Diceros bicornis minor: one gene and its partners. The protein of the gene in region 2 interacts with the protein of the main gene of each other region in a pairwise test. Links are inferred from orthologs where the notes say so. Each region holds a gene or a part of one and is shown on either strand. Other genes may lie near its edges. The genes, in order: TNNT1, TPM3, LURAP1 and LCA5L.

Evidence for each region.
Region 1: the proteins of TPM3 (region 2) and TNNT1 interact in binary tests that used the Homo sapiens proteins (3 or more experiments, as listed by UniProt). The two-hybrid records come from large-scale screens. The link is inferred for Diceros bicornis minor from reciprocal best matches to the Homo sapiens genes TPM3 and TNNT1.
Region 3: the proteins of TPM3 (region 2) and LURAP1 interact in binary tests that used the Homo sapiens proteins (3 or more experiments, as listed by UniProt). The two-hybrid records come from large-scale screens. The link is inferred for Diceros bicornis minor from reciprocal best matches to the Homo sapiens genes TPM3 and LURAP1.
Region 4: the proteins of TPM3 (region 2) and LCA5L interact in binary tests that used the Homo sapiens proteins (3 or more experiments, as listed by UniProt). The two-hybrid records come from large-scale screens. The link is inferred for Diceros bicornis minor from reciprocal best matches to the Homo sapiens genes TPM3 and LCA5L.

What each region holds. Positions count from the first base shown.
Region 1 is NC_080773.1:33,187,477-33,195,246, forward strand, and holds the start of TNNT1 (troponin T, slow skeletal muscle), read right to left. Parts: upstream 3,057-7,770; 5' UTR 2,993-3,056; intron 1,803-2,992; exon of another isoform or gene 1,744-1,802; 5' UTR 1,733-1,743; coding exon 1,701-1,732; intron 1,591-1,700; coding exon 1,577-1,590; intron 1,233-1,576; coding exon 1,197-1,232; coding exon of another isoform or gene 1,176-1,196; intron 941-1,175; coding exon 908-940; intron 720-907; coding exon 669-719; intron 124-668; coding exon 102-123; intron 1-101. Other genes in the region: TNNI3 (troponin I, cardiac muscle), read right to left, coding at 4,576-4,659, 5,288-5,464, 5,999-6,088, 6,568-6,699, 7,002-7,185, 7,317-7,330, 7,486-7,554, 7,700-7,712. UniProt on the Homo sapiens protein: Troponin T is the tropomyosin-binding subunit of troponin, the thin filament regulatory complex which confers calcium-sensitivity to striated muscle actomyosin ATPase activity.
Region 2 is NC_080743.1:58,274,072-58,281,397, forward strand, and holds the start of TPM3 (tropomyosin alpha-3 chain), read right to left. Parts: upstream 3,137-7,326; 5' UTR 3,122-3,136; coding exon 3,008-3,121; intron 2,392-3,007; coding exon 2,266-2,391; intron 1-2,265. UniProt on the Homo sapiens protein: Binds to actin filaments in muscle and non-muscle cells. Plays a central role, in association with the troponin complex, in the calcium dependent regulation of vertebrate striated muscle contraction.
Region 3 is NC_080752.1:9,099,224-9,106,372, forward strand, and holds the start of LURAP1 (leucine rich adaptor protein 1), read left to right. Parts: upstream 1-4,041; 5' UTR 4,042-4,171; coding exon 4,172-4,372; intron 4,373-7,149. UniProt on the Homo sapiens protein: Acts as an activator of the canonical NF-kappa-B pathway and drive the production of pro-inflammatory cytokines. Promotes the antigen (Ag)-presenting and priming function of dendritic cells via the canonical NF-kappa-B pathway.
Region 4 is NC_080766.1:39,373,978-39,381,039, forward strand, and holds the start of LCA5L (lebercilin-like protein), read right to left. Parts: upstream 3,036-7,062; coding exon 2,714-3,035; intron 2,447-2,713; coding exon 2,300-2,446; intron 1-2,299.

The DNA of each region.
Region 1 (7,770 bases), on a different chromosome or scaffold from region 2:
TCAATTTCCCCACTCTCCTCCTCTGCCTTTCTCACACCCTATCTCTGGGGGTGGGGGACACATTTAGGAGGACGTGATTGGGACCCCCCCCAAGATCTCACCTTGGTTTGGGGCGCTCCTCTTCTGTTGGGGGGATACAAAGAGATAATTAGCAAGAGTTCATGGGGATGGGCTTGACACACCCAGAGAAGGGAACCCCCGCAAGCCTCAGTCCCCAGGAGCCCAGTTCCCTCCTCCTGTTGCTCTGGGGGGGGGGGCAGGAAAGGAGAAAAGGAGAGAAGGGAAATCAGGGTGGCCAGAAGGAGGAGGAGAATCACACGCATCAGATATACATTCAGAACTGGTGTGGGGATCCCCTCCCACTTTCCTGGGAACCCAAGGGTCCAAATCCCCAGACCCTCCTCCTTGTACATACCCAGAGCTCCTGCCCTCCTCCAACAAGACCTAGCAGTGCAGGGGGGCCCCAAACCTTCTCTTCTATCGGTGGCCCAGGAGCTGTGTTCCCAGTCCCCTCCCCCTTGGGGACACAGGAACCCGGACTCCCAGTGCTAGCCCCTTCTGCAACCTAGGCCCCAACCTTTGAATGTATATGGAGAAGAAAAATAACAGACAGGGTAGGGGGCGAAGATGAGGGGGGATGGGGTGGTGCCCCTCCGCAAACATCCAACCCTTCTGTAAGTATTCCTCCAGGCTGGGGAAGAAGGCTTGGGTGTCGGTCCCTTTAAGAAGGAAGGGAAAGGGTTAAAGCCGCTGCGAGGTGATTTTCCCTTCGTGGCCACCAGAGGGCGCGCGGGCGCTCCGGGGCTTAAAGGACCGGGCCTGGGGCGGGTTATGGGGGCGGGAGGGAGTCATCGCGGAGGTCAGGGCCCCCGAAATCGGTCTCGAGAAGCGAAGCAGCCGCGATTACCTCGCTCTGCCACCAGCTCCGGCTCCTCGGTGGCTGGGGAGGGGGCAGGAGGAGAAGCGAGGATTGGGGGAGCCGGGGGGGGGGAGGGAGCGGGGTGGGGGAGCGGCCACGCCGGGTGCGGGAGGGGGAGAGAGGGGAGAGAGGGGAGAGGCTGTTAAAGGAACTGAAGCCGAGGCCTTCGGGACCCCCGTGCCCCGCCAGCCTCCACCCCTGGACGAGTGTCCCCACCCCACCCGGGCCCGGCGGGGCCCCGCGTCCAGCTCCAGACCTGCTGAGGCCAGGGCCTCACCTTCCTCCTCCTCCTCGGCGGGGGCAGCCTCCTCTTCTGGAAGGGGCGGGGCAGAGAAGGGAGGGCGTTAGGAGCCCGGGGGGGCCGGGGGCGGCTGGGCCTTTATTCAGATGTGGGGGTGGCCAGAGAGCGGTCTTCGAGTCTCAGCTGGGCGGGGGGGACCCCTCTGGGCCTCAGGTGCAAATGGGCACCGTGCGCTTTTCCCATTGGCCGTGGGAGATTTCCTGGAAACGCTCCAGAGGGTGGGCGTCGGGCGGGGTGGGCTAACCCGCCTCTCTCCCCGGCTCCCTGCTGGGAAGGGGCCGCACCATCTCGCGCTTCCCATACGCTACGCGCATGGGTGTTCCCACCTCCCCAGGGCCAGCGCACCGTCCACTCACCTTCCGGCTGCTCCCTGAGGACCGAGTGGGAGGGAAAGAGGGAGGGGGAAAGTTAGATGCGTTGGAGGTGGGAGAGTGTCTCCTCTTCTCCAAACCCCCAGCCCCTCCCGCCAGCATCACTCACTCCTCATATTCCTGCTCTTCCGTTTCCGACATCCTGGTGTGACCTACGGACCACAGAGAACAGACGCAATGGGGTGGGGTCCAGAAGGAGGAGGGTGTTGGGGTCTGGACTCCTGGTCTGAGGGAGGAGGGGCTGGGGGCCTGGACTCCTGGGTCTGAGGGAGGAGGAGCTGGGGGCCTGGACTCCTGGGTCTGAGGGAGGAGGGGCCAGAGGCCTGGAGTGTGCATGAGGACAGGGCATTGGGAGGTGTGGCCCAGGCAGAGCCCCAGGCCTGCAGCCCCCACGCCCTCAGCACAGCTGTCATCTTTTGTCTTAGGACCTGTCCATGGGAACCTGATCTGAGTGGGGATTAGGAGAAGGTATTTGGGAAGGGACAGTGGCCTGAAGACAATAGCTGCCCCACCCCCAGGGGCTATTTTGAGGGGATGTCGCAGCCAGTGAAACAGAGGACATTTCCTAAGAAGGGATGGGGGGGCTTCTGGGAGAGTTAGTCCCCCCTCCCCTCTGGCAGGTCATCTTCCCACCTGTCTCCTTCCTTCACCTTCACCCACAGCCGTGGAGGGGGCAGGAGGCATGAGGGCAGCTTCTGTCCACAGACCTCATCCTGACCCCTAAATACTTAGAGCCCCCAGTCTCTGAGATCCCCCAGGCCCCAAGGTGCCCAGTTTGAGTCCCCCCAAATCTCAATAGCCATAGATCCTGAGACCCCAGTGTATGATGCTCTTGCTCTCTGAGGACCATTCTGACACTCTGGTTCTTGACTCTCCAGAGTATGGGCCGGGACACATCCCAAGATCTTGACCCCCCGGTATTGACACCCCCTAAATTCTGAAACCTCAAGATCATGAGACCCCAAAATCTGGATACCCCAACTCAGAGGCCCAGTTCATGACACTCAGAATTATGACACTCCAAATTGTGATGCCTCCAATCATAAGACCTCAGATCCTGAGACCTCAGTTCCTAAAATCCCAGATTCTGAGACCCACCCCCATCCTGACACCCAGACTCTTTGACGTCCAAGCCCAGATACCCCCAATTTCTGAGATTCCCTGACTCTGAGAGATCCTAAGTTTATATTCTGTTCCCCAAATCCTGGCACCACCGGATCCCGTAACACCCAAATCCTAACACTTTCCCTTCCATTCTTAGTCCCCCTAAAGTCTGAGCCTCTGGAATTCCCAGACCTTGATTTTCCTGCCCCCTCCTTCCCCATACGTATTCTCCACACCCCTCATCTCCCTCCCCTCCTGCCCCTCCCCCAAGGGCACCGCAGGGCCAGGGCCCCTTACCTAAGACTGGGTCTGCTGAGGCGGTAAACCGGCGGGGGCAGAGTCTTGCTGGGCCCCACTGAGGCACCCCTGGGTTTATAGCTGGAGGCTCAGCCCCGCCCCCAGGAGGGAGATGGAGGGGGGAGATGGAGGGGGGAGAGGGAGGGGGGAGAGGGAGGGAGAGAGAATGCCTTTCCCCAAACCGGAGTCCCCAGTCAGAGGCTGCCCTGCCCCCACTCAGGCTCCACATGGCAGGATCCAGGCACCTGCTGGCTGCTCGGACCCCCCTCCTCTGCCCCATCAGCACCTCCTGGAACCCTGGGCTGGGTCCGGGGCTCCCCCCTCCCTTACAGCACAGGGCACCCTGTGCTTTGAAGTCCCCATGCTCAGCCCACAGTAGGCCCTTGGAGACTGCTTATTGACTAAAGGGGGACAAGGGACACTTTCTCTTTGCATGGCTCTTGTCACTTTTTCTGTGTCTCTCTGGCCCTCCACCTCTCACACCCTGTTTCTCTGTCTCTATGACTCTCCGTCTGTGGGTCTCTGTGCATCTCTCTCTGCTTCTCAGGCTCCCCCCTCTGTCTCTGTCCCTCTTTGTCTTCTCCTCCCCACCCCCACCCCTTTGTCTGCCACCGGGATTCCACCCTGGTGACAACAGGCACTAAAGCTGGGAAACAGGTGTGTGTCGGGGGAGGCGAGAGGGTGGGGTGTCAGCCCCGCGGGACCTCACCCCCCACCTCCATCTGACACTGGTCTGTTTTGGTATCCCTCTCCCCGCTTCCCTGCCAAGCCGTGACCTTGAAGGGTGGGGGAGCAGGCCCTGGAGAGCGGGACTCCTCGCCCTCCCTGCCTCTCTCTTGCTGTCTCTGTCTCACTGTCTGCCATCTCTGTTTCTGTCTTCTATGCATTTCTCAGCGGTGTCTCTTTGGCTCTCTGTTTCAGACTCTCTCTGTCTCTCTCTGTCTCTGTGTTCTTCACTCTGCATGTCTCTTGGCATGTTTTTGTCTCTGCGTCTCTGCCTCCCTCAGGGTCTGTCTGTTGGTGTCTGTGTCTCCTGGTCTCTCGTGCATGTCTGTCTGTGACCCCAGTTCTGTCTCTCTGGCTCTGTGTCCATGTCTCTATCTTTCTGGCTCTTTCTGGGGGTCTCTCTTTGTGTCTCTGCAGTTGTTCCTCTTTGGTCCCTGTTTCTGTCTCTGTAGGGTCTCCCTTGTCTCTGTCTCGCTGTGTGTATCTGTCTCTCTGTTTTCCATTTCTTTGCATTTCTTTCTGTGATTCTCTGTCCTTTTCCCCCTCTCTCCTTGGGTCTCTGGCTCTGTGTAACTGTCTCTGACTCAGTCTGTCTGTCTGTGTCTCTGTCTCTCTTTGGGCCTTGGTCTCGGCATCTCTGTGCAGCCCGCGTGGAGCAGAGGAGCCTAGAACGCCCCATATTGGAGACCCAGCTCAGCTCCTCGCGTGTGGTGTGGCTTTCGGGGAGCTCTGCCCTCAGGTCTCCCATCTCTGTCACCCCTAAGCCCCCGGGTAGGAGACACGCAGCCACTCCCAGCTCAGAGAGAAGCTTTATTCCTCAAGGCCATCCTCAGGGCCAGAGCGGTGGGCAGGCCAGCTCAGCCCTCAAACTTTTTCTTGCGGCCCTCCATTCCGCTTAGCGCGTCGATGTTCTTGCGCCAGTCTCCCACCTCCCGGTTTTCCTGGGGGAATAGAGTCAGAGGTTAGGGTCTCTTCCTGGTCCACAATCTCTCGAATATCCTCCAGCTGCCCTCCAGCCTGCTGGGCTGCTCTATTCTGGACGCCTGTCCCAGAACCTGGTTCTGGAACACGTCTTGTCCCCTCAGACAATCCCTTCCAATTTGCCCCATGCACTTCCTGTCTCCCTCCTGCACTTCCTGTTTCCCACATGCACTTCCTGTCTCCCTCCTGCACTTCCTGTCTCCCACATGCACTTCCTGTCTCCCTCCTGCACTTCCTGTTTCCCACATGCACTTCCTGTCTCCCTCCTGCACTTCCTGTCTCCCTCCTGCACTTCCTGTCTCCCTCCTGCACTTCCTGTCTCCCACATGCACTTCCTGTGTCCCTCCTGCACTTCCTGTCTCCCACATGCACTTCCTGTGTCCCTCCTGCACTTCCTGTCTCCCTCCTGCACTTCCTGTCTCCCACATGCACTTCCTGTGTCCCTCCTGTACTTCCTGTTGAGGACCCTTACCAGATACTTCTCCCCACCACTCCAAGCACCATCTGCCCTCAGGACAGGCCCTGGCATTGTCACCTCCCACATCCTCGCCTCTAAGCACCCCCTTTCCTGGCCCTCGCCCCACTCACCTTCTCTGTATCCTCCTTCTTCACCTGCTTGAGGTGGGCCCGCAGGTCTAAGGTCGCCTTAGCCCTGGCCCCCAGCAGCGCCTGCATCATGGCATCCGCAGAGATCCGCACCCTCCGCAGGGTGGGCCGCTTAAACTTGCCCCGAAGGTCAAAGATCTTCTGGGTCAGATCTGCGATCTGGGGGCAGCCATAAGAGGAGGTGGAGACTCCCCTCTGCTTCCCCTTTGCCCCACTCTTCCACCCTAACTCCCCTCCTATCCTATCCAGGCCGCATCCGGGCCCTCCCTAGCTCAACCACCTTTGGGACAAAATCTAAGCTCCTCATTCCGGAACTGGAAGTCCTCCCGGAGCTGCCCCAGCCTCATCTCTGAAAACCACTGACTCATCCCAGTCCAGCTACCTGCATCTCACAGTTCCCCGGCCCATACCTGAGCTCATTTACCAACACTTCAGCTCCAGCCACACATGTCCACAAGCATATTCCTACTGTTCCACCTCCTGGTTTTTGCACGTGCTGTTCCCTCTGCCTGGTACAGCCTTCCCTGAGCATACTGTACTCATCTTTCTGCCCACTCCCTGTCAGACTCACAGACTTGTCCTGGGTCTCCTGGTGTCTGCAACCACAAGCAGCTGCCAGGGGGCAAGCTGAGACCACAGCCCCAGGCATTGCACCCTACCCTGAGGGGACCCACACTGCCCAGTGCCTCCCACCTCCGTGATGTTCTTGGTGACTTTCGCCTCCACGTCGTATCTCTCCTCATCAACCTTGTCCACGCGGGCATGGAGCTGTCGGCACAAATCCTGGTGGAGGAACGGTGGCGTGTGTGGGGCGGGGAAGGCTGGGGACCCAGACTGCTGGGTCTGTGGGAGGAGAGGCTAGGGGCCTGGACTCCTGAGTCTGAGGGAGGAGGGGCTGGGGGCCTGGACTCCTGGGTCTGAGGGAGGAGGGGCTGGGGGCCTGGACTCCTGGGTCTGAGGGAGGAGATTGAAGCTGGACTCTGGGGAACTGTGAACAAAGCAGCACTCCAGAGCCAAGAGTCCTGAGAATCCGACAGAATTCGAGTTGCAGGAACCGACTTCTAGGTTTTGAGACTGTAGCCCTCAAGCATGGAGCTGCAGGCCATATTTCTGAACTCCCGACGTAAGGTTTAGGAGATTGGACCGCAAGGTCCTGAGCAGAAGGGGATAGTGCCTATACTCCTGAGTCCCAAGGATGCAAGACCGGAGAGTAGGAATCTCAGACCCCGGGCTGAGAGAGAGTCCCTGGTTAGAACCGGTACCTGCAGCTCCTCGAAGCCCAGCCCGGCCAACTCCAGAGGCTGGCACCGCGTGCTCAGGGCCCGCCCCTTCTCTCCACGCCGCTCCTCCGCCTCCCGCTCCAGCTCCTGCTTCGCAATCTGCAGCATCAGGGTCTGCGGAGTGGACCACCGCCCACCCGGGGGTAGCGGGATGAGGACCGCGCTCTCGGGGAAGCTGCTTCCTCCCGCCCCGCCCTCGAATCCCAGTCCCGTCCTTCGCCTTAGAGACCCGTCCCCTCGAGGTCCACCATTCCAAGGCCACGCCCCTCCCGTAGGTGGGTCCCCGCCGCAAAGCCACGCCCCCAGGAACGCACCACGCCAAGTCCCGCCCACTCGCACGCCCGAAGCCCCACCCCAACCTTCAAGCTCCGCCCCCCCCGAGGACACCTAGGCGCCCTCTCCAGGCCCATCCGCACCTTCAGCTGCAGTTTTCTCGAGGCGGAGATCTTAGACTTTTTCTGCCAGGGTGACACAGAGCAATGAAGGATCAGAGACGGGGTTCCGAAGGTGAGCAGTGGGAGGGACTTCAGAGCAGCCCCCCCTTCCCCCCCCCGCAAGCCAGGTCCAGATTTGGGGCTGCCTCCAACTCCGGCTCTTAGACTACGGGAAGCCACGCCCCTCAGCCCCATCCACCAATCTGGGCCTCTGACTCTGGCTAGGCACCGCCCACCATCCCCTAAGCAATCGCAGTTCCCACGGGCAACGGAACTCCACCCATAGGCAGCTCTCACCAATCCGAGCCCGGCTGTGTGAGAAACTCCGCCCCTGAAGCCGCTCATCCGCTCGCCCATGACCGAAGTCCCGCCCCCACTGAGGCCCTGGCTCCGCCCCTCCTTCCCAAGGTGCGGGTAACCTGAGGCCCCGCCCCGGCCCCGCCCACCGCGCGGGCCCCGCCCTCACCTTGGCGTGCGGCTCGGTGGCGTAGGCGCGGTAGTTGGCCGAGGAGCGGCGTCGGATGGGGGCGGGCGCCTGGGGTTGGGGAACGGAGCCTCGTCACCACCAGGACCCCCCAGCCCCGCTCCATGCCCGCTCCTGGGGCTCCAGCGTCCCTCCCCAGACCCCTCCCCGCAGCGCCCTCGCCGGCCCTGCCGGTCCAGCCCACGCCTGCTCTCACCGCATTGCCGCTCCTGCAGGGAGAGAAACCAGGAAAGGGAGTTAATGGTGGGCCCGTGTCCTGTCCAGTCC
Region 2 (7,326 bases):
GTGAGCCATAGGGTGTGGCAACTACTCCAGGTAAGGAGAAAGCCAGTAGACAATATGTAACTGAATGGGCATGGCAATGTTCCAGTAAAACTTTGTACAAAACCAGGCTGTGGCAAGATTTACCCCACAGGTGATAGTTTGCTGACTACTAAGCTTTGAGAAAACCTTTCTTCCTGCTTCCACCTTAACCAGGCCTAACAGATTTTTGCCTCCTGCCCACAACCTTCCTCTCCTATTTCTTGTTCTCCTACATATCTCTGAGGGTACTTATTGACTTGTTGGGAAAGCTAATAAGGGGGAGAGAAGTTGAGTGCATTTTTTTACCCACACATTACATATTTAAATGGTTTTTGTGGATTCCTATATAAATATGAGAAGCTTCTTTCAAATGAATATACTGAATAGACTCTGTCTAGGTGGAGGATGACGCTGCGTGTGTGTGTGTGTGTGTGTGTATGTGTGTAAAACAGCTTAGGACAGACAGAATCATCCCCAGGAAGTTCCTTTATCTTCCCAATGATATTGATATATTGTCTGGAGCCTCTATGTCATTCTTTGTCTCCCAAGATCTCAGGTTAGACTGGTTAGTTCTTTTCGTTGCTCCTGCAAACACCTCCTGAAGTCCACATAACTACTGTTTCAACCTAAGGACTTTCCCAGAGAGTTGTTACCCAACATCTCATAATACTGTTATTAACATGACATTGTTCCAGTTTGTGAAAACTTCTATCTCGATGCCTGTTTATTGGAACCAGAGAGCTCTATCCGCCTATACCTGGAATCTAAGTTAGGCAACTCCAGCAGGCCATCAGGCACTTGCCCAAAGCCCTGGGGGTAACCTGTGTTTTTTGCAGTTTTTCAAGAAGGAAGAATTAGTAGTTTGCAGTGGCCTAAACTTTTGGAAACTATGAATATATATAATGTGTATGATCCACTTTATGTCTCTGACCTCTGGCATGATATACTCAACAACCCTCACCACTTCCTGGGGCCACAGATAATGGGGGAAAGCCAAAAAGAAGATCAGAAACCTAACAGCAAAGAGGCCAAATGTGAGAATCCAAAAACATTTGTGAACGACCCACGTTGTCTCTCTAGCTATTTTCCAAAACCAAATGCTATTTTAAAAAATACATGCTCCACTTTTCCTATTAACTCAGTGCTGAGAACTGAATCTATTTCCATCAATACCAGGACATTCTTTTGTTGCTATTAAGATTCCTATGTTACTTTTCTTCCAAAAGTCTTTCCTATGTGGTCTCTCATTCATCTTTGTGATAAACTTCAAGGTTGAAGATGAAGGAAAGTAGGTGATTATTGGATAGCTTGAAGAAGAAAAGAGAATTTCATTTTTTTTTGGTGAGGAAGACCAGCCCTGAGCTAACATCCGATGCCAATCCTTCTCTTGTTGCTGAGGAAGATTGGCCCTAAGCTAACATCCATGACCATCTTCCTCTACTTTATATGGGACGCTGCGACAGCATGGCTTGACAAGCGGTACGTCAGTGCATGCCCAGGATCCAAACCTGCGAACCCCAGGCCGCGCGAACTTAACCGCTGTGCCACCAGGCCGGCCCCGAGAATTTCATTTTCAAATGGGAAAATTCAGCCCTAGAGAAGCTGAGTAATTTCGTCAAGGTCACAGGGTAAGGTCTGGTGGTGATACCTTTACCCTCTAAGATTTCTTCTTATTTCTGTTATAGTCTATCATTCTAAGATCCTCTCTGCTGCCCTATGAGCAGTGCTTACTATGACATCTCTGTGGCATAAGGGCAGATGCCCACATTGGCCAAGACAAATAAACCCATGTAGGGCCAGCGTCAATGTGACCTCCTTTGTCCCATTGTGAAATCTGAGCTGACTTTGCTGGGGAGTTGAGAGATGAGAGTTTCTCTATTAATACACATATCTACGTGCCAAGCCTTGAAAGCTAAGAATGTGGCATGGGGGAGGAGGTGGGATAGATAAGTGATAGCAATCTGGATTTAGAGTCCCCTCCCTTTGTTCAGGTCCTGGGAAAGATAATTAAATTCCTGGGTTGGGAATGAGACAAAAATCAGAATTCTCCATGTCTTTAAAAAAGAAATTTATGCCATTACAAGGGTATGCCAACATGTGGTTATATGCAAAAATGTATAGGGGCATCTATGTCTGTGTTCTATGAATTTACTTTGTATATGTCCAAGTGTCTTTGGAATTTAGTCATAATAACATGAACATCTGTGTGTGTAGATTAACCCCACCCACCATCTTTCCAATACTCACATCAGCTGCCTTCTTCTCTGCCAGCTCCAGCTTCTCCTGGGCATCCTTCAAAGCTTCAGAATACTTGTCCAGCTCATCTTCTGTCCCTTTCAGCTTCTTCTGCATGGCTGCCAGCTCATCTTCCAGCTATAGGAGCCCCAAGAATCACACACAAAACATACTGTACACAACAGTGCAGGCTCAGACCCTGGGCTCTTAAGACAGACCCCTGAGCCCAACCTTTATGTTACCATCCCCCAGAGAGACATACCTTCTCCCCAGTCACTTCTAGCCAACTGCTCCAGGAGTTATGCTATGTCCTTGGCCTGTGACTCTTTGATATCTGACCCTAAGATGATGACCAAGCCATGCTGGGTTTTCATCTAAGACCCTGGGATGGTAAATATCTCAGGGTGTAGATGCCTGTTACTCCATTTAAGGAAAAAGAGATGTTGCATATCAAGCTCCCACCTTTTCTTCTAGAAATCAGGGATTCTTCCAAAACATGATCCACTCCCACTTAAATCTAGCAGACACTCTGTAGCTCAGAAGGGGCCCTTGACTTTCCAAAGGTCACACAGGCAGTCTGAGGCAGATACACTAGATGTCCTCTGCCCATCCAGTGAGGCTGGGGAAGAAGCAGAGTCCCTCCCACCCAAAGAACAAGCTGGCACCAGTGGTCACTGCCTTTTTGCGTGCAAACCCTCTTTCATCTCACAGTCGTGTTCACCAGCGGCTAAGAGAGACCAACGCCAGGGCCTACCTGTTTACTTCTTTCTTCTGCCTGCTTCTGCTCAGCTTCAGCTTGCTCTGCCCGATCCAGAGCATTCTCCTTGTCCAACTTCAGCATCTGCATCTTTTTCTTGATGGCCTCCATCGTGAGCAGTGGCCGTTGGTGGGCTCACCTGTGAACACTGGAGAACTGGAGACTAGGGCAAGAAAGGAGGGGCTGCTGGCAGAGTGTCTAGGAGTTCCCCAGACTTGAGCCTTTATCTCTGCTCATGGCTCCACCTCTTGTTCCTAATATGGTCTTTCCACCTCCCTCCACCCCATCATTGTTCTCCTGGGGGAATACAGGGTGAGCCACTCCGATGGACTGACATCACCAGCAAAAAAAAAAAAATGGGGGAACAGCTGAGGCTGATTTTAGACAATGGAAAGTGGGGGAGGGGAGAGGCTTTCCCTGACCCTGAAACTTTCCACTTACTCTGGGCAGCTCTATGGGTGTTTTTAAAAAGCAGGGAGAGGGGAGGGGAGAATATTGAAATAGAGAAGGGTACTTTGGCAACTCTAGAATGGTAGTTTTCACTCAGCGGATCCTAGTTGCCCTTCAGCTTCCCCCTTACTCTCACCCGGACTGTGTTGGATGCTGATCAAACTCCACTGGTTGAGTTTTACCTTTTGATTCCTGGTATTCAGGGAGCTTGAGGGACAGTGAGGAGGGGAGGTCACTCATGATCCTTGACAATTCCCCCAGATCTCCAGATCAAATTACTGTGCTATTTTGAGAGTCTCTAATTGGCAGAGAGACATCATTCCTCCCCCTTAAGAGCCACAGGGATGGAGTAAGAGGGTAGGGTTGGGATCTGGAAGGCCATCCCAGAGCTTCAAGAGGGGTGGGGAGAGAAGCAGGGGAGGGTCAGAGTAATCTAGATAGGATCATGTCCTCTGTTTCCCATAGTGATCTTTAAAGAGAACTTCTATATCCACATAGACCAAGGTGTTGCTGTCTTCTCGTCTCCCCACCCTCTGCTCCCTTCTTACCCCCAACCCCCCCACGCTCATCATCATAATCATCATTACCAGCTCTATTCTCCCCTGCTTAGTTCTAGGCCATGTTCATTCTTCTACTTGGGGCCTCATTACTGACAAGTGGCAGTTGATCCCAGTACACTGGCACCATACAATCTGAGAATATGCCAGAGGAGAGGTGGGCACTATTCAAGGTGACCAGAGCTATCAAGGAAGAATATAAATGGATCTAATTAGTCATTATGTCAAGGATAGATGGGTAGTGTTAATACTAAGCCCCAGCAATGGGGTAGCTGAGACACCCACCAGGGCAGAGGGCAAAACTGAAGTCCACTGTTGAGAGCTTCCAGTCACTAGAGGTAGATAGGCAGATACGCCATCAGCTGACTCTTTAAGGAAAGCAGAGAAACCAAAGCCCCCTACTGTGGGACTAGGAACAAGGAAGTCCCAGGGACAGGAAGCAGTGGATAATGGGGGGGGGGGTTTGAATAAGGAGGAGAAAAATACAAGGACAGGAGAAAATCAGAGATATATTCCTTCTAGCATAAGGGAAAGATATAGGAAGATTTGATACTCAAATTCCAGCACTCTCCTGCTCCCACACTAGTCCTCCAGTTTAAGACTGAAATCCTCGTAGGTTGCAGCCACTAGTGTTCCAAAGGGGTCCTGGAAAGAAGAGGTTCAGTAAAAAAGACAGGAGCCCCAGAGCCCTGGAGGTTGAAGTAGTAAAGAGTGTGATGCCAAAGTGCCCACTGCTGTAAGAATATGTTTGACATTTAGTTGGTTCCTAATTAAACAACCCAATATCAAACATATCACACAGAAGCAGGCAGGAGAGCTGTGGTGGTCACCTGCCTTCCCCCCACTGCAAAGAAAGGACAAAGCAGAAACACCAGGCACCAAGCATGGCTAGATGGAGAGCCATCTCCCTGGGGAAGGGCACCAAACCCTGCTCTTTGCCTCCCAAGACAGCTGGCTTTTACTCATCTGCCCTTCGTGCCGTCCCTGTCTCAGCTCCTCTCCTACCAGTGCCTGGCCTTTGCTGGATCACGTTGGCTTAAACCAGGGAGAATATCTGGCAGGGCTTCATGTCCGGGCACCTATCCTTCTTTAAAGCTCCTACACAGAGCTTCTCCCCCTGATGTCACGGCCCCAGCGCCCAGAGGATCAGCAGTGTCAGCAGCTCCTCGTCAGCCTAGCCACCTGCTCTCAACTCCCTTCCAGCTGCCCTGAGGCTTTCTGGGGGTGGGGGTGGGGGGCTTGTCCTCCTGCTTTACCTTTCCAACAGAACTCCTAAGCTTTCCATATCACCCCCACAAGACTGCTGACGGCTTTTCAGTGACACCATCCTGGAACCCTCCTGCTCTTGAGTACTACAGATAAGTAGCCACAAGAAACTTGCAGAATGCTTGGCTGCTGCTTCCCACCATCTTGTCCCTTCTCACCTTCTTCCCATGTCCTCCAGTCATCCTCCTTAAAGTCACCCTTGGATGTCCAGAAGAGAAGAGTGACATGTCTCACTGGCACGCTCCAGAGAAGAAGACTTATGGTCTCCCCTGCCTGGCAGAATTGAAACTAAGACTTGAGGAGATCAAGGGTGAGGGAGGAAACCCCCTGTGCCAGAGAGCAGCCTGCTGTCCTTAGGACTCTCCTCTTCTGGGGCTTTTTACGGCAAGAACTCCTGGGTTGGCTTCTCTAAGAGTCTTCCCTCACAGGGATCCAGCCTGGTTCCTTTCTGAGGGATTTTTCTTCCAAAGAGAATCCGGTTTGTTGAATGTCTTGTGGCAGGCAGATGCTTCTCTCTACTGTGGCAGAAAGGACCCCGGGTTATAGCTGCACTGGTGGGGTGGAGGGCTTGGGTGGAAGTGTGGGGGTGGGAGGAGAATGCTCTGCTTCAGCCCCCAGGCCTGTTCCATGTGTCCTTGTTCCCATTAGTCCAGACACCACCCGCCCCCCCCCACACACACACAAACACATATACCAGCTCCACAGTGCCCTTGATCTAGATCGATAGCTTGTCCCAAGCCTCAGTCAATTCTTGTTGTTTGGCTCTTGCCTTCCAGGGGAAGACTAACAAATGGGCATACAAGCCCCCAAAGTAGGCACCTGTGGTGTTGTCTTATGTCCTTGTTCCTTTATGGCTCTCAATGGGAGTTTGTGTGTAATTTTTACTTTCTTGACCGTCCCTCTTACTTTTACCCCCCAAGTTCTAGTTCCCTTCTCTGGGAACCTTGACTACCTTGGAGAACCAGAGGCTGGAGGGAAAGAGGCTGAGAAAGGGACTAGCAGGAATTGAAAGGACTTTAGTGTTTTTTTTTTTTTTTTTTATAATTTTATTTATTTATTTTCCCCCCAAAGCCCCAGTAGATAGTTGTATGTCACAGCTGCACATCCTTCTAGTTGCTGTATGTGGGACACGGCCTCAGCATGGCTGGAGAAGCGGTGCGTCGGTGCGCACCCGGGATCTGAACCCGGGCCACCAGCAGCAGAGCTCGAGTACTTAACCGCTAAGCCACGGGGCCGGCCCTTAAGGACTTTAGTGTTTAGGGCACTAGGGGAACAGAGGAAGAGACTGGGAATATTGATGTAGGGAGGAGCAGCTTTCTTAGAAGGACACTTTGGATGGCATAACTAGGCAGAAACATCAGATAACCTCTGATGAAAGCTTTCTGGCTATTCTGGAAATACCTTCTATACAGCCATTTCAAACAAGACTAAGCCCTTCTGAGCCAGAGGAGCTGGAGAAGGCACCAGCCACAGAGGGAAAGGGGCTAGATGGGTGTAATAGGGTGAACTACTCAGTTGATGTGATGAGAGCAGACAGAGTAGGCAGAGAGGATCAGAGGACATGGGCTCTGTAGGGGGCCAGTCTGCCAATATTGGAGTCAGCCTGGCACTGACAAGCCCTGGGGACAGAGGCCAAGGTCAGGGATCAAGGCAGAGGGGGTGGGGTGTTCTGTGGGTCCAAGTGAACAGAGGAAAGAGGAATCAAAGGAGTTGGTGAGGGAGTGTGGTGAGAGGTGGGGGGCAGCCATGTAATGGAGAGGAAATAAAAAGGGAAAAAACTATTATAGGGCAGGAAAACATCATTTGGGTTACCATTTATTGGGCATTATGTGCCACCTCTCTGCTAAGTGCTTTACTTAATCCCCACAGCAAGACAGTGAGGTAGGCATTATCTCCATTTTACATATAAGGAACTGTGATCCAGAAAGTTAAAGTAACTTGCTCAAGGCCACACAGACAGCAAGTGACAGAGCCAGGATTCAAACCGAGAGCTGTCCAGTGTTAAAGCCTATTCTCCTATCGCCAGGCTACACTGCCCATATA
Region 3 (7,149 bases), on a different chromosome or scaffold from region 2:
CCTAGAGCGGGCACAGGGCAGCGACCCACCCCCCCCTCCCCGTCCTCCGTCCTCGCCCCCTCCTACGTGACCCAACTCTTCTCCTCCCGGGGCTCGGGGCTCCCGACGACTCGGGCGACCTGCCCTGGCCGCGTCACCCCTCCAAGACCCCCGCCCGGAGGCACTCACGGCTCAGGGGCCGCGAGCCTCGCGGGAGCCCCGCTCGGGCCCGCACGGCTCGGCCCGGCGCGCCGAGGCCTCCGCCTCCTCCATGCCGCTCGCGGCCCCGCCCCGGCGCGGCCCGGCCCGCCTCCCCGCTTCCGCCGCCGCCGCCGCCGCGGGGTGAGAGGGCGGCGGGCGGCGCTTAGGGCGGCGCGGGCGGTCTGCAGCCCGTGACTCCGCGAGCGCTCGGAGCCGCGGCCGCTTCGCGGGCGGCGGGATGGGGGCTGCTGGGGGAGGGCAGCCTCTCCGCCGCCATCACTGCCGGATGGCAAAGCGATGCGAGTCGGAGTCCTAGAGCCTTGGACCAGACCCCACGGCGCTCCGGGGTCAGAGGGGCGACAAGCCTGGGACACAGCGACCCTGGCCCCTTGCTTGGGCGAGGCTTCTCCCAGGTCTGGGGCATGCAGGGCCTTTGGAGGCCGAGGGACATTAAAAACCTGATTCTGCTAATCACCTAGACCTTGGGCAAGTCACTTCAGGTCTTGGCGTAGGTTCCCTTCTCTGTGAAATAGGGGTGTGCTGATATGATGCAGACTGTATGCCAGTCAGTTTTAAACACTTTACTTATATTAACTCATTTAATTCCACAACAACCCCATGAGGTAGGTACTATTACTAATGAGGCCCAATGTCACCAAGCTGGGAGAGCTAGAATTCAAACCCAAGCGGCCTGGCTCCAGAGTCCACTCTTAACCCCTGCACCATAGTAATACTTAGAGAGTTGATGTGAAGGTTACATGAGATAATACATATAAAGCAGTTAGCTTAACACAGTGGTTCTTGAACTTGAGTGTGCATCAGAATCTGTTGGAGGGCTTGTTAAAACACAGATTGCTGGGGGGCTGGCCAGGTGGCGCAAGCGGTTAAGTGCGTGTGCTCCCGGGCGCACATGGACGCACTGCTTGTCAAGCCATGCTGTGGCAGCCGCCCATATAAAGTGGAGGAAGATGGGCATGGATGTTAGCCCAGGGCCAGTCTTCCTTGGCAAAAAAAAAAAAAAAAAAGAGGAGGATTGGCAGATGTTAGCTCAGGGCTCATCTCCTCACAAAAAAAAAACACAGATTGCTGGGCCCCATTCCTAGAAGTTGATTCAGTAATCTGGGGCAGAGAAGAATGCTGCATCTTTAAGAAGTTTCTAGGTGACAGTGACACTTATTTGAAGTAGGTAGCCATGGAACAGTTTTAAGCAGGAGAGCAACATAATCTGATTTAAAAGAACTTTTACCTTTTTGTGGAGAATGTGCTAATAGGAAACAGGACGCCAGAAGACCAGTTAGATTTTTCTGAGCTCTCCGTAGTCCATCTGTTTTCTAAATGGTGGGATGATATCCCCCAAAATGTTAACAGTACTTGTCTTAGGAGTTGAGGCAATAGGTGATTTTTCCTAATGACTACGTATTAGAACAGAAGAAAACTCAATACATTTTGTTATCATTTGAAAAAGATGTCCCTCAGTGTTCCTCCCTGACTCTCGTCTCTCCTCAAACTCAGTCTCCCTGAAGATCTCATCCCCTCTCCTGACCTCGGTTACCTTCTTGATTCCTAGACTCATATCTGCAGTCCTAACCTTTCTCCTGCGCTCCAGGCTGACCTGTGTCCAACTGCCTGCTGGACATCTTCACAGGCCCCTCCAACTCAACACGACTCCTGCTGGAATCATCTCTTCCCACTCCTGGACCTCTTCTTGGGCTCCCTTGCTTGGTGAATGGCCTCAGGCCAAACAGCTGGGAGTCACCCTTGATTCCTCTTCTCTGTTCAGCAACCAGTCCACGTCTGTGTGCTCATCACTTTATTCTCTGCACCACACACAATGGCTAGCACATAGTAGGCTCTCCATAATACTTATTGAAATCTGTCGTTTTTTGAACAAATATTTATTGAATGCCACTATAAATAAATGAGTGTAATTAGTCACCAAATCGTGTCAATATTACCCCCTAAAGAGTCCTTCATTCTGGTGTCATTCTTCTCCAACCTCACAACCAGCCCCTGGTGCAGTCCTTTTCGTTTGCTTGCCTTCCAACTGCTCTCCCTGACTCCAGATTTTTACTCCTCCAATCCTTTCTTCTTGCAAAATCCAGAGTAATTTTTCAAAAAAGGAAATCTGTTTTGTCAATCTCTGATTTAAAACCCTTTCATGAATCAAGAGATGTTAAGGAGAAATATATTACTTAAAATTACGAAGGTAGGGGCCGGCCCGGTGGCGCAAGCGGTTAAGTGCGCGCGCTCCGCTGCGGCGGCCCGGGGTTCGCTGGTTCGGATCCCGGGCGCGCACCGACGCACTGCTTGGTAAGCCATGCTGTGGCGGCGTCCCATATAAAGTGGAGGAAGATAGGCACAGATGTTAGCCCAGGGCCGTCTTCCTCAGCAAAAAAAGAGGAGGATTGGCGGATGTTAGCTCAGGGCTGATCTCCTCACAAAAAAAAAAAAAAAAAAAAAAAAATTACGAAGGTAACCATTGAATGAACTAAAAATAATGATAGAAATAAATAGGGCCAATGGAAGAAGGGAAGTAAGGAGTGTAAGTAAGGTAAGTTGTATTTATCATAATAGGAAGTCAGTAGACAATTTTTAAAATGAAGAACTAGTGATACAGTATAAACCTATGTGGTGTTATAGGTATAAACACCAGAAAAAAATAGCTAAAAGTGGTTGCCTCTGGGGAGTGGGACTAGAGGTGGGAAAGGATAGGGCAGGGGTAACTATGTTTTCATTGTAAATCCTTCGGTAACCATGGACTGGAATTACTTGGATTAAAATCCAAAACCAAGCCAAACCATAAAAAGTTTTTCATGGCTCCTCATTACCTGTGGAATAAAATCTAAGCACCTTAGAACCATTTTCCATTACCTTGTTGCTCAAAGTGTGTTCCCTGGACCAGCAGCATGGCCATTGCCTGAGAGCTTGTTAAAAATGCAGAAGTCCAGGCCTCACCCCAGATTTACAGAACAGTAATCTGCATATTAACAGGATTCTCAGATAATTCATATGCACAGTCAAGCTTAAGAAGCATCAGTATCAAGATCACGTATGATCTGGCCCTTGTGGACCTCTTCAGCTTCAATACTGGTTGCTCCTCATTGGCCAGAAGAACTTTCCTTTCCACTCCTTTAGTCTAAATTCAGTGGCCAGGGGCCGGCCCGTGGCTTGGCGGTTAAGTGCGTGCGCTCCACTACTGGCGGCCCGGGGTTCAGATCCCGGGCGCGCAGCCACGCACTGCTTCTCCAGCTGAGGCCGCGCCCCACATACAGCAACTAGAAGGATGTACAACTATGACATACAGCTATCTACTGGGGCTTTGGGGAAAAAAAAAAGGAGGAGGATTGGCAATAGATGTTAGCTCAGAGCCGGTCTTCGTCAACAAAAAGAGGAGGATTAGCATGGATGTTAGCTCAGGGCTGATATTCCTCCCCCAAAAAATAAATAAATAAAAAATAAATAAATAAATTCAGCGGCCACACTGTGGGTGTATGCGTGTGTGTCAGTGACTAGCTAAATTCTAATCACTGTTTTAGACCCAGCTCATCTACTCCAGGAAGCCTTCCAAAACCCTCTGCAGCTCTTTTATCACTGTTCCTTAAATTCCCATAGCTCTAACTGAGGATGCTTAGCCTTCATTCAGCAAACATTTATTGGGCGCCTGCTGTGTGCCTGGCTGGATTCAGTGCCAGGGTAGGGAGAAGGCGTTCAGCTCTCCGAGGGCTCCTTCAAGTCCAAACCCAGAATCGCCCAGCCGCACGCATTCCAGGGCCAGAGGCAGCGTGCGCAGCACTCGAATATATATATATACACACACGCAAACAGTGTCCTGCGCGGCTTTTCTGAGCGTTACGGCGCCCTCCTCCCGCCCCTACGCGGCGCGGGCGGGGACCCACCGGTTCCGCTCCGCATTAGCAGCGGAGAAAGGAGGACCCCCGGGAGCGGGATCCCGGCGTCTGGCCGCCCAAGCCCTGTTCAGGCTTAGGCCCGCATGGAGGGGACTGCGGAGTCCCAGACGCCTGACCTGCGAGACGTGGAGGGCAAGGTGGGCAGAAAGACCCCTGAAGGGCTGCTCCGCGGGCTGCAGCGAGGCGAGTGGGAACCGGGAACCTCTGGCGCCCTGATGCTCCCGGGGGCGCCGAGGACGGGCCACAGCCTGGGGGACAAGATCGTGGCGCTGAGGATGGAGCTGGTGAGTGTGGGCTGCACCTGCCAGAGGGACGGAGCCCCCCCCACATAGGACCGGAAGGGACGGACTCACGCCCCCAGAGTTGGGCTGGAGAGGAGAGAGTTAAAATTCCCCACCTGACTCCTCAGGATCCCTCCCTGATCAATCCTTACACCCTGGGGTCCATTAATTACAGACCCCCGCACCCCCACTCCCACCCCTCACCCTCACCCCAAGGATGAGTGGGGTATTGATGGGTCCTGAGGACCTGGGGTGGGAGGCACAGGTTTTTGGAAGTTTTTCCTGCCAAATAATTGGGAGGAGAGAGGTGAGAACTGGGACGCCCTGAGAACCTAGCACAGCACAAATCTCCCCCCTACCCCTCACTACCGGGCTGCCTATCCCCCAGCCACCATTACAGGGCAACCAGTTTTTTCTCCTCCTGCAAATTGGGCCCAGGGTTTGTTCCTCTGAGGCCCCGGTATTCACACAAGATTCAGCACAGAAGGGATTTGGGTGAAAACTGCCTGGACTGGGGCCACCAAAAACATCCTCTCTCCCCAACATCCCCCCACACCCACTTAAAGTATTTGAAAGTTCCTGGAACCTTAGCAGACAGAGCAACAGCACCATCAGTGTTGGCCCGGTCACTGACTCAGTCTCTTCCCCCCAGCTCCCCAGGTACACTGGATATTTGGATCTCGTCTGTACCTCCTTGGGGAGAAGAGGAGGAAACAGGCACCCTCCCCCTTCCCTGTTGCTGCTGGTCTAGATTCAGAGCCAAAAGGGCACTTGGGGCCCCCCCAGGCTCCCTAGGGCCCTGGTTCCGGTGAAGGGGCTGATTTACATCTGCCACCACTTTGCAGCCAGTTCTGGGGAACTGAGGAATTGCCAGCCACTTTCTGGCCCAGAACCAGGAGCCCACAGTGAGTGTGTCAGCCAATAGATCTTCCTGGAGCCCCACTGTGTGCCCAGCTCTGTGCCAGGCTGAGCTGTGAGGGAGCAGCAGGGGTGGGTGGGGGGAGGTCATGGGGTCCCAGACAGCTTGAGAGGCTGGAGAGAGCCTTGTGGGCAGAGCAATCAGGGAAGGTTCCTTGGGGGAAGGATTTGAATGCCATGTGTGCACTTGGCCTTGAAGGTTGGAGATAAGTGCCAAATTCTCCAGAGCGGGGCTGTGACTGTGTCCACCCAGGGAGGGGCCTGGCTTTGCCTCATTGTACTTTTAGCTGAAGGCCTAGAAAGAGCCTATCTAGAGTGTCTTGCTTTGGAAACTAACTTTTACCAAGTGCATGTGCCAGGCATCATGCTGAGCACTTGACAAGATGTTCTTTTAATCCTCACAGCAACCTATTGGGTAAGTGATACTTTATAGATGAAGAAACTGAGGCACAGAGAGGATGGTAACTGCCCAAGGTCATATAAAAAGTAAAAAGCAGAGCTAGGCTTTGCACCCAGATGATCTGCCTACACTTTGCATCTTTCCCATTGAGACCTGCTGCTTTGTACCAGACACTTAAAACACATTTTATGTCATTGAGGTGAGAAAAGCAGTCCTCATATTCCCCGTCTCACAGATGGAACATGCTGGCGAGTGTTAAGGGGCTTGCTTGAGTTCCCACAGGCAGCCAGTGGAGGAGCTGGGCCTGGGCTCTAACTCTTTCCTGCCTTTGGTGGAGATCACCTGTTTGTAAACTTTAACCTAGTACATTTAACTTCTGATTAGATCTCTCTGCATTCTTGACCCAGCCTGGCCTGGGGCCCTGATTAGGTCTCTCCGCATTCTTGACTCAGCCTGGCCTGGAGCCCTGGGCTGTCCATGAAGGGCATGAGGGAGAGAGCCTTCTAGGGGCTAGAACAGGGTCGGGCTTCTTATGTGCCCCAAGGATCCCTGCCCCATTCCTATCTCCCTCCTTGGGCCAGGATGTCATTGATCTCTTTGCGCTCTGCCCTGCCCACTGGGTTGCTCCTGGGGAGGACAAGGGGTGGGCCAGGAGGTTTCCCTTGGAGCCGCTTGTGGCAGAACCGGCCCAAGCCCTCTAAGTCCTGTCCTTCAGCTGTCCCTCTCCTGCAGGGAGGGGGCAGGCCTGCCCTTGAGGCCAAGGTCATCCCTGCCTCTAGCCTCTTCCCTGCTGCTTCCCTCCCCTACTCAAAGGTCTAGTGAACCAGCCAGACTCTGAAATATATGGGGAGTGGAAACAATGGCAACCTCTGGCTACTTAATCCTCCCACCCAAAAACTGCTGCTATGACAACCAGCCCCCACAGAGCAGTTTGAGGAAAAGCTTTAGGCAAGGAGGGGGAAGGCTTGGGTTCAAGTCCTGGCTCTGCTCCTGAATCATTTTGTGATCTTGAGCAGGGCCCTGACTCTCTTGGCCTCAGTTTTGGTGCTTCTTGGGGGATGCGGGTCAGGGGATTATGGGGCCAGATGGTCTCTAAAAGCCTTCTTAGTAACAATAGTCTGGGCATCTCAATCCACGACCAGGGAACTAGGGCTGGGAGGATCTCTGGGCTTTTACCTCAGGGCCTGATTTGGATTGAGTGATGTGGGAGCCATGCTTGTGACCTCAGGGCTGGGCAGAGAGTCTGATGTGGACATGTTAAGGGGAGGAGTGAGCAACCTGAATCCCCCTGGGAAGAGAATTGGGTTGGAGTGGCCTCTGAGGCTGCATCTCTCCTGAGCTGTTTATCCCGTTTCCAAAGAGATGGTGTGAAATGAGTGTTTCTTTTTCTGGCAAGAAAGCTTTGCTTGCTTCTATTCTGGGGAGTGATGCTGTCACAGTCAGGGAATCCCACTGTCACAGG
Region 4 (7,062 bases), on a different chromosome or scaffold from region 2:
GGCTGAAAGGAAGGCCTTTCCCCTTTCTGTTCTCTGTGGTTCCTGGTGTTAGTCTGCTGGAGAGGGAGTCCCTTCGGCGCTCCCTGAGGTCTTCTGCCTACACCTGACTACAGACAACAGGGCAAAAGGCGTCCCAAGCAACTAAAGGCAGCAAAATGACTTCTTTCTTGATATACCAATTTTTTGAATGAATCACAGGTTTTGGCATTGTACTGACAAAACACATCAAGGAAGGGTATATAATCAAAAGAGTTCTGAAAGTACATTTTCTACAAAAGAAGGAATAACTAATTTTTGAAAATCGAATTGTAGAAATATATTGCTTGCTATTTAAGTAAATCTCCAATATCTGACCAAAGCAAAAATCCTATCAAATTGAAGTCCTCATTGTATTCTTACAATTTTTCTCTGAAATATTTTTCTGCCATAAAATTTGCTTTTCTAAGAGGGGAACTGAAAATAATCTCTGATGTTATTGTTCTCTCGTGAATTCTGGGTCTGTATTGGTGGTTCACAATCTGGGGTTACCAGCCCCCAAGGTCAGAGATTTACTTTTAATATATCAGGAAGCTGAACAGACACGGAACATTCACTCGAGAAGGGGCTGCATGGGCTAGAACATTAAACCTCTTTGTTTGAGTTAGAATTATATTACCCCAGAATTAATTAATTACTTAATTACTTGCTGCTTAAATTTCTTTGGCAAACTCTTGCGAAACATGAGCTGTAAGGGAACAAAAGAATGAACCAAGGAAATACTTTATCATTCTGTGACAAAGCTTTGATGTTACAATGAGTGTTTTAAGTACATCATACCCTGGTGCAAGGATCCTCAGGGACATACAAAATTTGAGTTAAAGATGCATCCAAGATTTATTTCAAATAATTTCAGAGTATTTGTACACAAAAGAGTACCACAAAAGAGTTCTCACAAAAAAGTGAGAACAAACCTTCACTCTTCAGATAACGGAACTTAGGATTCTAGTCCAGTGTGAAGTGACTGAATTAATTTAGGTTGCTCCTAATTTATGACCAGGTATCTTGCATAAAAGACACAATAAATATTTGTGGAATAAATAAATGAGGAAACAGTTTTAACAAGTTAAATTATAAGGTGCTTAGAACTCAAAATTCAGTTCATTTCTTACAGAAATAGTTTTATAAATCTCATACAGTCCCACAAAAGCCTAGACTCTATATAAAATGTAGTGTATGGATCCATGATCTCTTGTCATAAACCCTTGTGGCCAGACTGTTTCTGAATTTTTAGAGGTTTATTTTTTATGGTGCATATATGGTATTTTCCAGAGTATTCCCAGTAGGGTTTGGGACAGCAGACTTTAATCAAAGAATATTTTTGTAGTGAAACATATGACTATTCACAGTAAGTGAGATAAACAAAGATCAGTCTCATGTCAGTTCAAATCAAGTTTTTGTTGCCAAGTCAGTTTTGGTGCCAAAGATATGAAAAATGTTTGGTTTTCAGAGTTTTGTAAATTTCAAATGCAGCTAAGGGATTGGGTAACTGTAAAACCTAACCACGGTGTATGTTCTGTGGTGAAACTCTCTTCCAGATACCATGAACAGACTTCTCTGGACAGAGTCCCACTGTGAGAGAAGGAACTGGACTTTTCATCTCCTGTCCTAGGCCTTGCCAGTGGGTGTACGACTCCCACGTCTCTAGAAAAGGGGCCTGTAGCTTTTTGAGAATCTGGTGAAAGCTATGGGTCCTTCTCCCTAGAAAAGTTCACAAACACAAATAGACACAAAAATGCATAGAACTTCATGGGGTTCATAGACATGGGTCTTACATAAAGAATCCCTGCTCTATAGCTAGGAAGAAGGGGAACTGAAGATTTTAGAGGATCTAGAAGTAGCCCAGGTGGTGCTAGGCACACCTGGTCATAGCAGGCTGGGGATGAGAGATACTGGATAAATGTGACTGTGGATGTGCCCCCCACATCGGAGGCTCTTAACTATTTTCCAGCTGTTGACTGACAGCAGTTCTGATGGTCACAGTGGAAAAGAGTCCCAGCTATTTCTACACAAGGAATATTTATAAGCCCAGGATTGCCTAAAATGGGAGGAAGTAGTCACATTCTGGGCAGGGAGGTGGGGAGTGAGGAGATCAAGATTATCACAAGGCTAATTCCAATTTGGACAGTTACAAGTTGATGGTGTTGGTACTTTTTTCTTTTTTTTGGTGTTGGTACTTTTAAAATCCACAAAGAAATGACCCTACTAATAGCTTTTTGAACCACCTCTGTTTCAAAAGATTGTCTTTGCCACTATGCCTCACCGGACTTGGAGACCATCTTCTTGGGGAGTTGAGACAGGTATTTATATTTCTTTGGCGATTCAAACCTTGATTCTTCAGCTAAGATGAAAGGCAAGATGCCACTGAAATCCAGGTATTGTGGTACTCTGTAACAAGGCCACCTGTTAACTAAAAACGGAACTAACCTCACTTGTAGGCTCCAGCAGTGTAAGCCATGCAAGAGGGCTAGGTTTTACATTTTAAGCCCAACTTTCTGTTATTTTGTAATTATTCTTAATTTCTCTATTTCCTCATATAAATGTTCACTTATAATACACATTTACAATATGAGAAAATAATGAAACAGAACATGGACCACATCAAATACTAGTGAATTAAACAGCAATGTTGTTATAACCAGAAATTTGGTCTCGGTTGGGAAATTCTGCTTCTTACCTTTAGGTTGGGAGATTTTAGAAACATTATACTTTTTCTTCTCCTCTTTTTCTTTTACCGCAGGCTTCTCTAAATAATTTCTATTGACAGCTGTTTCTGAACATTCAGAGAGAAAGTCTTCTGAATAATCGTAGCGAGAACTTAAACTTCTGCAGGAACACTGAGATCGGCTATAATCAACGCTCTTATTGGAAGCGTTACTGTTCCTCGGACAATCGCCTGTGTCCGGGCAGGTCGTGCACTCTGCGGACCTTGTACGGTTTTCTAATGCCACACTGGGGAAATGCTCATCTATTGTTTCTGTCGGATGGGCCCAAGACATAGTAAACAACCTGATAGAAGAAAAGTATGTTTAGATTTATAGCTATTGACATTAAAATGAATCTATGCTTTGTTATGTTTAACTCTAAATGGATAATTAGGAATGTGAAACAACACATTACTTTGAAGTATTTTCTGAAAAATTTTCAGTTTGGTTTTTATATTTTTTCTACATAAATTATAAGACTCCTGAGACCAAACTTTGGTGAGATTATATTCACAGTACTACAAGATCAAGTTCATATCAGAAAATAATATCGCTAATAATTTATGAATTAGTGAGTTACCTTCTCATTCTGTTACTTTTCATTTTTTGGTGAGGAAGATTCGCCCTGAGCTAACATCTGTGCCAATCTTCCCCCATTTTGTATATGGGACGCCACCACAGCATGGCTTGATGAGCAGTCTCCACACCAGGGATCTGAACCTGCGAACCCCAGGCCACCGAAGTGGAGTGTGTGAACTTAACCACTACACCACCGGGCCAGCCCCTTGTTTTCTTTTTTAAAATTTAATTATTTTATTGAGGTCATATTGGCTTATAACACTGTGTAATTTCAGGTATACCATTCTCATTCTTTAAGGCTGGCCATTGGGATTTTCTGCCTTGATCAGAACTGAAGAAAATGACAGTATGTGGTAAGTTTAGGCGGCTGGTATGAAATGCAACATTTAGTAAATGAAATTCAGACATATTTGTGGAGATGCACACACTTTTATTTATTAATGATGAAATCACATACTTTTGAGATTAAACATATAGAGTAGAATATAATCAATTAATCTACTAGGTTTCTAGAGCTAATATTTATTCTAAAATTAAGAGTAATAGTGGGTAACAGTGATGTAAACTTGATCCATGATTATAAGGTTCTTTATATTTTAATTCAGGAAATTTGCATTCCTTTTTATGCTTTATTTAGACTATTATAACATGAATATGATTTCCTTGATTATATACTACATGACGACAGAAGAGACAATTCAGAAAAACATGATTTACATGGGAAAATCATCCAGGGATTGGAACCTTTTGGAAGAAAATCCACCAAATGGAAATTTTACATTTGTTTAATAAAGAACTGATCATATTTTCAGCTACACAAAACACAAACTTTTATAAATAATGGATTTGGAAAAATCAAAACTAAGTTTGCCTAATTATTATAAGTTTAACTATACAATGTGAAAAGTTAAAATCTTATTTGGGAACTAAACAAGAGTAAACTAGAGTAGACTTCAAAGAAATGTGTTTTAAAAGCTAAAAATGAGGGGGCTGGCCCGGTGGCATAGCAGTTAAGTTCCCTTGCTCTGCCTCGGCGCCCCGGGTTTGTGGGTTCAGATCCCGGGTGTGCACACTGCTCATCAAGCCATGCTGTGGCAATGTCCCGTATAAAGCAGAGGAAGAGAGGCATGGATGCTAGTCCAGGGCCCATCTTCCTCAGCAAAAAGAGGACTGGCAACAGATGTTAGCTCAGAGCTGATCTTCCTCTCACACACACACACACACACACACACACACACACACACACACAGACAAAAGCTAAAAATGAAAATGAAATTTGACGGTGTGATCCTAATTTCTAATCAGGGGCGTATAATACCACATAGTTGAAAGTCCTTGTAACCAAAGACCATGACTCAAAAATGTACTGAATTAAGACCTCTACAGAGTCACACTTCTTTTATTTAGGGTGGATTTGATTATAACTAAGAACAGTTTTAAAGTAATTTAAACATAGTAGTTCTTCATTTATGGATTTTAGTTTGGTGAATTATTCCCCAAAGCAGCTTCCCAGATTGCTTCAGGGTTCCAGGTAGCTAAAATAACTCCTCAGCTTTTTGCTCCTAGCATCTTGCTTAACATTCAGTGAAAAAAAAAATTATTGTATTTTACTTCCATTTTACTTTTAAATTCTTGGTATAGGGCATAGGCACTAGTATTAAACTCGACTGAACTGAATAATCTGTGTGACAAACAAGGCTAGATGACAGTCTCTCTCCTATTTGTTTCACACAGACTCTCCCACACGTGCCCCCTAAGGTCTGCAACACTGCACTCAGCTTCTTGTCTTGATCTGAGGACTCGGGGAGAGAAGACAGCTCAAGCTAAAGGCACACTCCCTAACAATCCAGGAGTTTCATATGAAGAACAATGAGTCCATCTCCAAGAGAGCTCGGCTACTACAATAACTTTTCGCTTAGCCCTTATCCTTGATAATTTAGAAACAGTGGATTCCAACGTGCACACACTTTTGATACTTTTGATAAGCCTCTTAGTTGTCTGAAGTGAGAATTTAAAATGGAGAGAACAGGAAATCAAACACAAGAAGGACCCCAAATGTACGCCCTCAATAAAACCTGACTTTCGTTACAAACCTGACGGTTCTGCATTCTTTATAGTGCTACAGCACTGAGGCACAATAATGCCACCAGGGTCTCTCTTATGTCAGCCCACCTCAAGAGCAGTTGGAAACAAAGGAATCCATCTCCTGGGGTCTTTAAAAGGGTTATTTTTCCATTTAATACTCTCAATTCTCCGGATTTATCAAAAAAGCCAAAAAAGTTAGCTGGCGTCAGCTCCTTCCCCACAGGAATCTAATATCACTCTCTCTACTGAGAGATTTTTTTTTTTTTTAAATCAGTTTCTGCCTCTTCTGCATCTGCTTGACTCTCGAGCTTTCTCCTCTCCTGATGAAATATGTTAGGCAGTTCATAATCTTCCTCCTACAGGAATCTTAGCCCAAATCACTTGACTAGTAATATTAGCATTATACTCAATACTTAACGTGCTTTGACTTTCTACAAACTGCGCTCACATCCTCTGATCCTGGCTGTGAGAAGGGAACAGGCTCAGACAGGTTAAGTGATTGCCCATGTTTTCCAGCTTCAAGGTCAGGAGTGTTTTCATTAAGCATTGACTGCAAACTACACCCTGGTGGTAACATTACACAATCCTAAATCAAAGACTTGATCTTTCCAGACACGTTCTACCATGTGACAGTGGGCAGAAGCACAGGTAAACATTTTTAGTTTTGAACTTTTGCACCAGGATTAAGAGACCCAGATATTGGTGTAAGAGACCCTGAAGGACCAAAAATGCTTGGATGTCACACTCAAAGCCTCATCTGTCCTTGTCCTGGAAACTGTCCCACTCCACGCCTTCTTGCTCATGCCCTTATCCCCTAAGTTCCTCCCCACCCATCCTAATAAATTCAAATTGCCCAAACATTGGTTGCTAATCTGTAAGAAGAATTTGTTTTTGACCAGTTGTTCCTGACACAAGCTAAACTTGGCCTGACCTCTCCTGAGAAAGCCCTATAAGAATTTCCTCCTCCTTCCCCACCTCAGAGCACTCCCTTGAGAAATCTTCTCATTGTAGGATGAAGGCTTACGTCAAGAGTGTTTTTCATGTTATAGTCACAAATTTTTCAACAGCTGCCATAGGGGAGTGTGACAGGGTAGAAGGTGACAGACAAACTGAAGGCAGATTGACTTGGGTTTGAACCTGGGTCTGTCACTTATTAGATCAGGTGATCTTGGCCATCTATAAAATGTGAATAACGACATGGATTTCATAGGGTTATCATAGGGGAAATGAGACAGTGCTTGTAAAACACCCGTCCCGGTACCTGCCACACAGTCAGCAATCAACACATGCTAATTTCCCCTCCTGGAAGAGTCATTCTGTGCCAAATCCCAGGACTGCAAGGGCACTGCTAGTGTCTTCGAGAGATGCAACCAAGAGTCAGTCTATTTCCCCATCAACTGTTTTAGCGAGAACAAATGCTTGTGTAATCCCATTAGCCTGAAAACTCCCTGAAGATAGAGGGTGTGTCTTGTTCCTGTTGTAACTTCAGGCCTAGCATAGTGCTGCCACACAACCACTATTTTTAAATGCTTGAATAATCACCCCCCGACCACCCCCTGCGTATGCCAAGCGCAGAGGTAGGAGCTTACATACCTTAGCTTACTTAATCATGACAACAGTCCTGAGAAATAGGTATCATTAACCTTGTTTTACAGAT